Linked DNA regions of Schizosaccharomyces pombe. The protein of the gene in region 2 purifies or fractionates together with the protein of the main gene of each other region. This does not show direct contact. Each region holds a gene or a part of one and is shown on either strand. Other genes may lie near its edges. The genes, in order: ubr11, pfh1 and rpc25.

Region 1 (3,757 bases), on a different chromosome or scaffold from region 2:
GCAAAAAGTAATCTAAACGAAGAATGGAAGATGGAGATTCAACGAAGCTATATGACGAAGGAGGAATTGGATGAGGACTTTTCCAATAATCCTCACGAAGAGATACTTGACAAACCGCAGCAGGGCGGGGTCTACGACGAGCGTTTATGATTTGTCGAAGGTTATTAAGGAGTTGAGAGTTAAACTCCGGGCGAATAGTAACGACATCCTGAGTTGCAGTAGTGGGAATAGGTACAGGAGTATGCGTCTGAGGATTATAATCTACATTTTCAGTGTTTTGTGATTCATCAGTTTCGTTTTGACTTTCGGTTTCCATTGAAATATCTTGAACATCGTCTTGACGAGTGTTTCGGTTTACACCAGGATAATCAGCCTCAGCAGCTTCATTTTCTTCTGTCTCCATAACTTCATCAGTTAAATCATCAATATCCTCTCGTTCTGTTTCAAAATCCAGAAGGTCATTTACGTCGTTATCATCATCAAGTGGATGATCAAATCCTGCAATAGTAGGATCGGTCATATCCGCTTCAAAATCTTCATCACCACCCAAATTAGCAATTCTAGTTACACCTGTTTCATCTTGAAGGTTTGCGATAACATCGAGAAGTTCTTCTGCGGCATAAATATCATCCTCGCTATCATCGTCATTAACAATCTCCAGAGGAAGGTTATTAAAATTCACCTCAGGCTTAGCAGGTTTTTCAAGGCCAGGAGACCAGTTCTTCAAAATTTCATCGCAAACGATAATTTGTAAATAATCAGCAAAATAGCAAACATGTGATTCTAGAAGATCATCGAACCATTCTAATAGAATACCACAAATATCTTCGCGAAAAAAATCGCGGGCAGTACGAACATTAACAGCTAAGTTTTCTTTTGAAATAGCGTTCGCGATTCTTATTGCTTCGTGAACTGAAGCCGATGTAGCAACAGCAAAGCGGCCAATAGAATCAACACGTTGAGCGACTTCAAGTCCAAAAGCCGTATTTGACGAATCTAACGCCTCAAGCACACTACCTACAACAGCGTCAAAGGTATGCACTTCGTCGTTCCAAAGCATTACACGGAAAACGTTGCAAGGCCTATCAGCTACACCATACTTTGCGCTGCTAAGACGAGAGGCCTCCTCATCTGCTAAGATGCTACCGACAGTAGATTGAGCTTTAAGATTCACGGGGGAACAAGAAAAGACATCGAGAATGAAGTCAAGAAGAATATGAATAGTTGTACGGATAGAGTGTTGAAGTTCTAGTGGGATCACTTCTTCTGGCTTTTTCTGCTCCTCGTCATCGGGGACATTATGTATCTTGCAGTTAAGGTCGACATTCCATGCCTCAGGATCGCCACAGTCGCAGATTCCACTATAAGAGGTTGAAATAGATACATGAGTCTCGTGACCCTCGTGGTTTGTGGCATGAAAGCAAGGAGCACAAAGAACACATGTGTTATCTAGCCCACAGTTCTTGCAACGATATATCACCTCGCCGGCACGAAATACGTGGCCACAAACCTTGGACCCAGAACGTTTATCTTGTAATTCTTGGGCGCATTCGGGTTCAGAGTGCTGAAGCCTCGAGAGACGAAAGTCAGAAGTAATGGCACCTGGCTTTTCTTTGAGAAAATATTTCCAATTGTCTTCGTTGTAATTCAGCAACGACAGGAAAACCTCTTGCAGCAAGTGCGTTTTTGATTCTTCATTTGAATCGTATGCATGCTTTTCCGCGCTTTCTAGAAGGTATTTTTGTAACCTAGAAGCCGATGGTTGCGAAAGAGGAGCCGGCGGGTCGTGCAATTGCATGAAATTATAGGAAAGGTTCTGTGAAGTAGATCTTGGGCCGCAAAGTTTTCTTCAATAATTAAATTGGTTTAAAAAAGCTATTTAATAAACAACAGGCACGCTAAAGCCACGGAATATACAAATTTTCATCAACAGAAAATTGGGGAAGTAATTGAAACAGCATTCAGTTGAATAAAGCAAACTCCAATCCTCCTTTACCTTCTTTAAACTTTTCTGTTGAAACAAATTTCTCTAAAAATATTTTTGGCAGCTATAAACCGTTCCTTCTTAATATTTCTGATTTGTATACCTAAATGGCGAGTTACTTCTTGCCATTGCCAAAAATCCATTTATACTACTTTCAGGTAACATCGTCACCTTTCTTGTATCAGTAGCCAATTGAAGATACCAAAAAATGACACCAGCTTGATAAATTCATCAGCTGTAGTCAACTCTTTAAAGCCATTTACTTTCAATTCAATTTCCTATTTCCTTCTTCTTAATATGTGTTAATATGTGTTGATTGCTTTTTTTCGTTTCGATCTAGTGGGCTTGATTTCATCCTTTGCCAGATAGGAATCACCATCATATGAGTTGGAAAGTAAGAGATATGCACCCTAGAGTAATCCAGCTCGAGATTCTTAAACTATTTATCCTTTTTAATCTAATTAAAATTTTTTCCTTTGGGTGATAATTTTCCATCGAGTTTGAATTACCCAAACTTCTCAATTATCTAACACCCCAAGATTTCAAAGTAAATATTGTTATCGCAGTGCATAGTAGATTTTAATGAGCGCTTGAATACTTCGGGCCCATGGAAATCATATCAAGGTTAAACAGTAGCATGCGCACACTATATTTTACTATACTATACTATAATACTTTAAGTAGGGCCAAAAGTTGATGGCTTGAAAAATGGGTTAAATGTTGAAAAAGGCTTTAAAATAATAGATAACCTTAAAGAAATAAATATTACTTCATGGGAATAGTTTATTTAAATTTCATTAGTTTTCCAGCAGTATTGTTAGCAAATAAAAGCAATTGCTCTTACATTGTTGCCGAGCACGGAGGCTAAATTCGACTCTTTCCAACTAATTAAGTTGGCACATGACGGGAATAGTTAGTGTGTTTAAAATAAATTTAGCAACAATTATTGCTGATCTTTCTTTAGGGAAAAAGGAAAAAAGTGTCACAAACCGGGATCGAACCGATGACCAACAGATCTTCAGTCTGTCATGCTCCCAACTACACCATTGCGACTGTTGTCGGCTTTCTTGAATTAGTAATATGTAATATGTTGTTTAGAAAGTGGTAAGTTAGTGTGCTTTTCTTATATTTACAATGTCAAGTGTTTCTTAAGCACATAAGTAGTATAATATTGAAACATAAAATAGCAAGTATAATACAGTTACTTTATTTTCTCTGGAACAAAGATGGCGATCGGGTAGTGAGATTTACAGAATAAGACAACATTATACCAGATACAAGCTGGAAAGAAATCACTTAATAAATTGTAAAGGCAAGACCAATATTGAAAGTATGATGAATGCCAGAAAATGAATGTCGTTCATATTAGCTTGACTGAATCATAGCAAAAATGGAATAGGTATTAATATCCGAGTTCTCCTCATTTTCTGCTTCCAATACCTAGTTTCTCATACAAAGTGGTTCAGGGTATTGACCACTATATGACTACGCTTTATAGTGCAACAATCAAAGCTTTTTTAATTGAATAGGTGCAGCTATCGCTTACTTTTATCTTGCTACACTTTGTCCAACTTTGAATATCTCTGCTAAACGTTTGTCATTAAGGTTAATCAAACGACTTTTATCATTCGAGTATGTTGTTACACTACCCTAGTTTCTTCTGCTAATAAATTATCAATCGTACGTTAGATGTAGCCAAGCGAGAAATCGCTACTTAGTGTTGCAAGCAAAGATGCATACAATGCAAATGCGCAAAGCCGCATCAGTAGTATA
Region 2 (3,757 bases):
TTTCGATTCTTTCCCATTTTCTGGAACAGGAGGTAACTGAAAAAAATCCCCAGTTAAAACCAACTGAATTCCACCAAATGGCTTACTATCTTTGCGAATAACACGCGCAACCTCTTCTAACTTGTCCATTAATTCAGCATCGACCATAGAAACTATAGTTATTAGTAAATATAAACTCACTTAAATTGTTTACCTTCATCAATGATCAAAACTCTGGTGCGCAACCAACGATTAACACACTTCTTATTTTTCTTTATTTTAGATACCAGGAGGTCGACAGATTCACGAGCAAGGCCTACCCCAGCAAAGGAGTGAAGTGTTACACCGCCGATATTACAGGCTGCCAAGCCTGTAGAAGCGGTAACAGCAACTCTGTCAGATTGCTTTCTATATTTAGATTTTAGGACTTCAATTATTTTTCGGAGGAGAACAGATTTACCTGTTCCAGCAGAGCCCGTAAAAAATATACTGTGTTGTTGCTCAACAACCATGTCTAAAATTCTTTTTTGCTCATCGGAAAGGAATATGCTAGGGACAGATTTTTTACGAGAATCACTTGTCTTAAACAAAGAAGATCCTATTGGCGATTTGGAAGCAGAGTTTAAAGGAACAGAAAATTTTTTAGATATCTGTGGGGTAGACTTAGATTTACTCATGCGTTTTTTAGCCAGACTATCCAAAGAACTGCTTCGTCCATTGCTAAGCTTATTTGAAGAATCATTAGATACAGTGTGTTGACTGATATCAGCTGAAGTGCTGGTTCTTTTAGGATCAGGATCTCCATATCTGTAAGGATCCACTGCCCAAGGAAGGGTTCGTGAGCGTTTTATTCCCTGCCTCGTAATATTACTAGATATTACGCTACTTGCGCCTTTTTCAGAAGTATGGTCTTCGTAAATTTTTGAGAGATGATTTTTTGACCGCTTTTCGCTCGAGAGCATTGATTTAGTTAACTTAGTATGCTCGATAGGGGATGAAGACCAAGGAATTGGTTTTTGGTCAATATCGTTTTCTAAAAGTAGATCATCATCAAAGTCATTTTCATCAATATAGACGCCATTCGCTATTTCAGTGGAGTATTTACTACCCAAGCCAGAATTTTCAAAAACGGGCAGTGAGGGTTTCGAAACATCGAATCCCACGGTGTTATCAAGTTGTTTTAAGCTAGCAGCAGAACGACCTCTTTTGGCTGGTAGGGTTATTGGAGATGACGGAAGGTTATCAGACTGGCTAGAAAATGTTTGCTGATCATCATTAGTAGAGGAGCGAGAGGAATTGAAGTTTAAAGAAGCGGACGAAAAACCGCCCAATTTGTTCAAGGAGGGTTGATGCGATGACTCGTTTTGTGTATGAAGCAAGCTGCTTTTCTGCTGAGCTCTTTGAAACATGACGGGGATACGTTTCCTAAAAGAGTGACTAAATTTATAAAGAGATTGGCACGAAAACATTCATCGAATTACTTCAAGAAACTGGAAGGCGATCTGTACGCAGGTTGTCTAAAAAAAGAAACCGTAAACGAAATAGATCACCCAAAATTGTTTGATCGAAGAAAAGCAACAAGAAAACAATTTCAGTTTGAATTTAAACAACAATCTGCTACTGACTTATGCGACCTCGACCTAACACCTATGATAAGCGGTCCAAGCACATAAGAGTTGGAAGTATCCCTTTGTTGATTGTATTAATTGGGATACCGGTTGAAGAAATTTGTCAATGTCGAGGAAACGGCTGTTGACAAGGAGGTACAGAAATGAAAGCGCTATACTAATAAAAATCAAATTTACGGTGGTAGTGGACGAGACAAATGAAAGCGCGTATGTCAAGACGCGTCACGTCTGTCACCACCAGGCACGTGTTTTTTACTTCACAACTTTTGCACAAATTTTTTATCATTCAATACTGTAATTATCATAAAGTCCTTTTTACATTAGTCGTTCCTTAAGTATAACTTGCATAATTTGCTTTCGGGGCCTATGCAATGCAATGCAAATAAATTGACTTTTGTTATAATATGTTACAATCGAAGCAAATATTAACCCGTGTTTACAGTAAGTTATTAATTTTATAATATTTGATAAAACGCGTCTACGATACCATATCCTCGGAAGTCTGTAAATAATAAATGCTATCAATTAATAAATTATATACTGTATGTAGACTAAAACAATCAATACTAAGTCGAAAATTCAATAATGAGCGACAAACGATTTAAATTCGTTGACCAACCAACTTTGGTAAAGATACACAAAAACATGCATCTTTAGGTAAGTATCGTGTTCTTCAGCAGTCCGTGTCAAACATCCCGTTTTAAAGAGACTTTAGAAGTGGAAAATAACATAAAAATACAAGGTTACGGTTATCACAAATACCTAGAGTCATAGGAGGGATAACTTCAACAGTAAGGATTGCCAATCGATTTGTACTACCGACAAATTTAAAAGGAAGAACAATTAGATTAATAAAATTTCAAAAAAAATGAAAATAGCAAACAAAGAAACTAGAAAGAATGAGAAAAAATTAATAGTAAACATTTATAACTCAATATAAAAAAAACAGTATATTGGATTCAGCAGAAGTACTAAGGATAAGAAAGATTCAAAAAATGCAAATATCACAGAGCACATGTACTTTTGTAATTTCTAGTTAACCTTCTTTGCATTCTTAGCCTTTTGCTTTTTCTCGTAAGGAGTTTCAGACTTGGGAGGCATGTAAGTTCCCAAAACGTGGTCCCAGAAGGTAAAGAAGGGCTGGCTAAAGTTCTTTTGGAAACCGTAAGGTTGGTGATGAAGGTCATGGTAACGAGCATTATTGGCAAAGAACATTTGAAGAGGGTCATAAGGGAATACGTATCCACAGTGATCATCAACAGTCTTCAAGGTAGAAAGGGTGAAGAAAATAACAGCTTGTTGAGGAGAAAGACCGGCGGCGAGATAAGCAACACCAGCGCCAAAAGTGTCCAAAATCAAACCTTCAAAGGGATGGTTGTAAAGGGCACCCATAGCATAGGGAACTTGGAGACGATGGTGATGGGCATGAATCATGTTGTAGAGCTTCTTGTTGTAGTGGAGGTAACGGTGCCAGAAGTATTGCCAGCTGTCAATGATGAAGAAAGCAAAGAAGTATTGGAATGCGGGAACAATAAAGTTATAAGCCAATTTAGGGGCAAAGGGAGCAACTTGTAACAAAGCAGGCAAATTCTTGCTGAAGAAAGCCTCGTAGCGTAACATTTGCTTAGCCTCGTCAATGGGTTCAGGATAGCCCTCGAACATGGCCAATGCGATTCCAACGACGACTTCGCAAAGTTGTTGGAAAAGCACGGCTTTAACAACAGCCATCTGAGGAACACGGTTGCGTCTGGCTATCTCCTCCGGAGGATGAATGCGATACTTCTCAAAGACAGGTAATTCAATGTAATGCAAAAATCCGAAGAAAGCAGAAGCAACCCAGTAAATGATGACAGGAGAAACCAAGGAAACGGTCACTGGGTTCCAGGTAGTTAACATTTCAACGGTGGTAACCATAGTGGCAAGAAAAATTCAAATTCGAAAATATAGCAAAAAGTTAAGTGAAAGTGTAAGAAAAGAGAGAAGCTGATTAGTTATATATATGCGAATATATATCTATGTGTCTAGACTGAAGAAAGAAAACAGTTGGTACAATATATACAAATCACAAACGGCAAGAAATGTGATTTATACAAACAATTGAAAAACGATGAAACCAATAAGGAACCTTTTAAAACAACAAGTAATAAAAA
Region 3 (3,757 bases), 980 kb from region 2:
TTCTCCGGTTGGTTATCGCTTTCGGAGGAATTTTTCATCTTTACTTCACCGTTCGTCTGAAATGCTGGTTCATCATTTTTGTTTAGGCTTAAATTTTTAATACCATTAGAAGATTCATCCAATGGATCTTTGGCATCCGCTAAAGCTTCTTTCGATTTGTTCTGTTTTTTTTCTTTTTGGGAATCAGTATTCTGTTTTTCTTTAGCTCCAGCTTTGGAACTAGCCTTTTGCAAAAGATAGTTGACTGATTTCTCTACGTCAAAGTAATAGTACCAAACTGTATCGGCAATTTCTTTTTCTGAAATAGGAACACCTAATAATGTCTCCCTTACTGTGGCTACAGCAGACCTGAATTCCTCTAGATATTGTTCGTTAATATTTTTAAGAAATCATTTACTAACCTTCCTGCTCTTCAGTCAATTCTTCCTCTCCTGGCTCCTCGTCGAGTTCATAATCTAGAAAGACGTTAAAAAAAAATACAAACTATTACAATATCAAATGGTACGAACCATCAAGATCAAGATTTTTTACATCACGATGCCTCGACATATTTTGAATTTGTTATTTTTGCCAAAAGTCAGAAACCAATAAATACTTCTTGTTTTAAAAAAAATGGTTTCTATTGATAAATAATAAATATATGTATAATATTTAAGTTGGCATTTGACACTTTGCTCTAGAGTAAATTCTTGGAAATATTCATACATCATCAGCAGCTTTAGCGAATTTTAGCAATGTCGCTATACTGAATTGAGTGCTGCAACAAGAGTTGTTAAAAATTCTCAACTGTAACAACTGAGTGTTTTAGGGTGGATGCCTTTTATTAAGCCGGACCGGACCCATTCTATTCATTATATAGTAAATTTCTCTCATTGTCTTCAAATGTTTTATGAACTATTGAATTCGGATGAGTAAGAGTAGGGAAAACATAAGTCTGTTTGTAGTGTCAAGTATCAAAAGTTGTTAAACATTAAATTCAAAAATTTTGGCGTTCATGTAACAAAATGAAATATTTAACTTTTTAATGACTAAAAAATGATTTACTTAAGTTTTCTAAACTATGCCAATATTAAAGTTAACAGAATCGTCAAATTTTCAGGAAATTTTAGTATGCCATACTCTCGTTAGATATGTTTGCAGCAATATTTAATTAATTATTTTCCTTTTTTTTATCTTTAAATACTGCTCATAGATATTAACAAAAAATGTTTATTTACAAATATGCTAGAATTTGTAAATAGAAAAAAAAGCTAAAATAGCTAATAATTTTAAAAAATTATTTAGTAGTTCGATTTTCAAAGAATTCTTTCATTAATTATTTGTTTTTACTTCTTAACTGCTCATGAGCATGTATATCGACAGAACACTCAACAATCTTGTTATATTCATCCTTTTAACTATTTAAAATTTATATTAATTCTGTAATAAATTTGTATGTTTGAATAAGCGATTGAAACTTCTACTCATTATAATTTTTCAATTGTAAACAATATTTCATGGATTTGTCTTAAAGCTACTGCGCTAAAACTTCACTGGCCTCGCTAAGTCGTTTAACACGCTTTTCATTAGATCGTTAACTCGCCATGAATGGTCTGGTATGCAACATAATCTTCGTATTCATATTTTTACGCGACCTGGCAAAGAAAGCTGGGCTTGCAGTTAAATTACTTTTTTGAAAGGTTCCTTTTGATTTATGCAAAGTTGTTGACCAAAAGGTTAAGAAATATTTTTAAATTGGATTGTGATCCACTGTTGTATTTCTAATTATTTATCGTTCTATTCAAGTTAAAGATTTTTTCTACAAGGTGGTAAAAACTACGAGTAATAGCCGTTTTATTATTTATGTTTCTCTTGAGTCGGTTTTCAGACATTATAAGCATCCATCCATCCAATTTTTGGAAGCCTACAAAGGAAGCACTGGCTGAAGAAATCCATAAAAAGTATGCTAACAAAGTGATACAAAACATTGGACTGGCTATTTGCGTTTATGATTTTTTGAAAATTGGGGAAGGAATAATTAAATACGGAGATGGCTCTTCATACATGAATGGTAAGTATAAGTCTGCTCACTTTATTTCATATGCCAATTCGCATTATCAATACGAAAGGCTGTCAGGATAGTGATTCAGTGGAAAAGAAAAACTTAAATGGTTCTAATTAGATTAGTGGTTTTCCGCCTTATAATCTTTCGTCCTTTTCGAGGTGAAGTAATGCTGGGAAAAATAAAATCGTGCAGTGAAGAAGGTATTCGGGGTATGTTAAATGTGTTTGTTTAAATGCTTGTTGTTAATGTTTTTCTCCCAGTAACTATTAGCTTTTTTGACGATATTTTCATTCCGAAAGATATGCTTTTCGATCCATGTGTCTTTCGTCCGGATGAGCGTGCCTGGGTATGGAAAATTGAAGGGGAGGACGGCTCAGAGGGAACCGAATTGTATTTTGACATTGATGAAGAAATACGCTTTCAAATAGAATCTGAGGACTTTGTTGATATTTCACCTAAGAGGAATAAAAATGCAACCGCGATTACAGGCACAGAAGCATTGGAATCGGTATCCCCATATACATTGATTGTAAGTTTTTTTTTTTATGTTTAGGGCGAAACTTGTGTCATTATTTATGAAGGGTGCACCATCTATTTGCTAGTATACAAGAAAATATTTTCTGCTTCTCTCAAATCGATAGAATTTACTAACTATATATTTAGGCTTCCTGTTCTCGTGATGGACTGGGCATTCCTGCTTGGTGGAAATGAGCTATTGGATTCGAATCAAAGTCAAACAAAATTTAAAAGCATCAATTAATCATTTACTCCAAATTGTATAAGTAGACTTTCATTCATGTTCTATTTTTCTTCATCTAATGCATCACCAAAATTTCCCAAAAATCACGTGGTCTAGAAAATGGTTGCAATTCTATTCTGTACATTCATCCCGTCTTATAAATTTCATTGCCGAAGGTTTTTGCACAAACCTTTTGGGGTTTTATTATTTCGTTGGAGATACCTGTGTTGTTTTTAGACATGTCCTACTTAAAGGTTGCTTTTAGTGAAAAAGGGTTATTTATAAATCAACTACTTCTTTTTTTTTTTTTTTTTTTAGCTTTTCTCTATTTAAAGGTATATTATTGTATCGAAAAATCAGTTTGTTTACATCTTTGCACAGCAACACATAATGGTTATGAAAACGGCGTTCTTCAAAATTTACCTTCTTGGATGATCATGGTATTTGCTAACAGGGGGCTACTTTAATAAAGGTACTTTCATGTCAAGCTTAAATTTAATCTGGTTAAAAGAGTCATATGTTCTAAAACTTTATATTCAATCTAACAACTGAAGATTCCGCACTGCGTAAAGGAATTTTTCAATGTTAAACAAACGATCCATGCTATGTATGATTTGATTGATTTTGGTATTGTGTATACTAATGTTTAGTAGTATTACCGAATATGGAAAATTTAATTAATTACACAAAAGAGCCGATTCATTTTATAGCATAATAGAATATCAGTCTACTTTTTATGAACAATGTTTGCTTCTTCAGCAAAGAATGTCCATCGCCAACCCACGTTACTCTTTAGTACAGCCGATTTTCGTTATATGTCAGAAAATAGCAACCTTAACATTTCAGCGCCTTGCTATTTGCTATTTGAAAATGACCAACAGCAATTTGACAAACTTCTAATTTTGTTGTATTTGTGCACAAATGCATGGACGTTATAAAGGATTCTTTCGGCTACTGTACTACTTTAGGGATAA

Evidence for each region.
Region 1: the proteins of pfh1 (region 2) and ubr11 purify together in Schizosaccharomyces pombe (affinity purification with mass spectrometry, with the first as the bait; one study listed by BioGRID). This does not show direct contact.
Region 3: the proteins of pfh1 (region 2) and rpc25 purify together in Schizosaccharomyces pombe (affinity purification with mass spectrometry, with the first as the bait; one study listed by BioGRID). This does not show direct contact.

What each region holds. Positions count from the first base shown.
Region 1 is NC_003424.3:3,700,836-3,704,592, reverse strand, and holds the start of ubr11 (ubiquitin-protein ligase E3 Ubr11), read right to left. Parts: upstream 2,102-3,757; 5' UTR 1,799-2,101; coding exon 1-1,798.
Region 2 is NC_003423.3:3,568,741-3,572,497, forward strand, and holds the start of pfh1 (DNA repair and recombination protein), read right to left. Parts: upstream 1,737-3,757; 5' UTR 1,449-1,736; coding exon 194-1,448; exon of another isoform or gene 153-193; coding exon 1-152. Other genes in the region: sphingosine hydroxylase/sphingolipid delta-4 desaturase Sur2, read right to left, coding at 2,640-3,521.
Region 3 is NC_003423.3:2,591,256-2,595,012, reverse strand, and holds the start of rpc25 (DNA-directed RNA polymerase III complex subunit Rpc25), read left to right. Parts: upstream 1-1,627; 5' UTR 1,628-1,842; coding exon 1,843-2,050; intron 2,051-2,090; exon of another isoform or gene 2,091-2,166; coding exon 2,167-2,253; exon of another isoform or gene 2,254-2,304; coding exon 2,305-2,573; intron 2,574-2,707; coding exon 2,708-2,755; 3' UTR 2,756-3,390; exon of another isoform or gene 3,391-3,436; 3' UTR 3,437-3,757. Other genes in the region: hbs1 (translation release factor complex GTPase subunit), read right to left, coding at 1-358, 402-455, 510-549.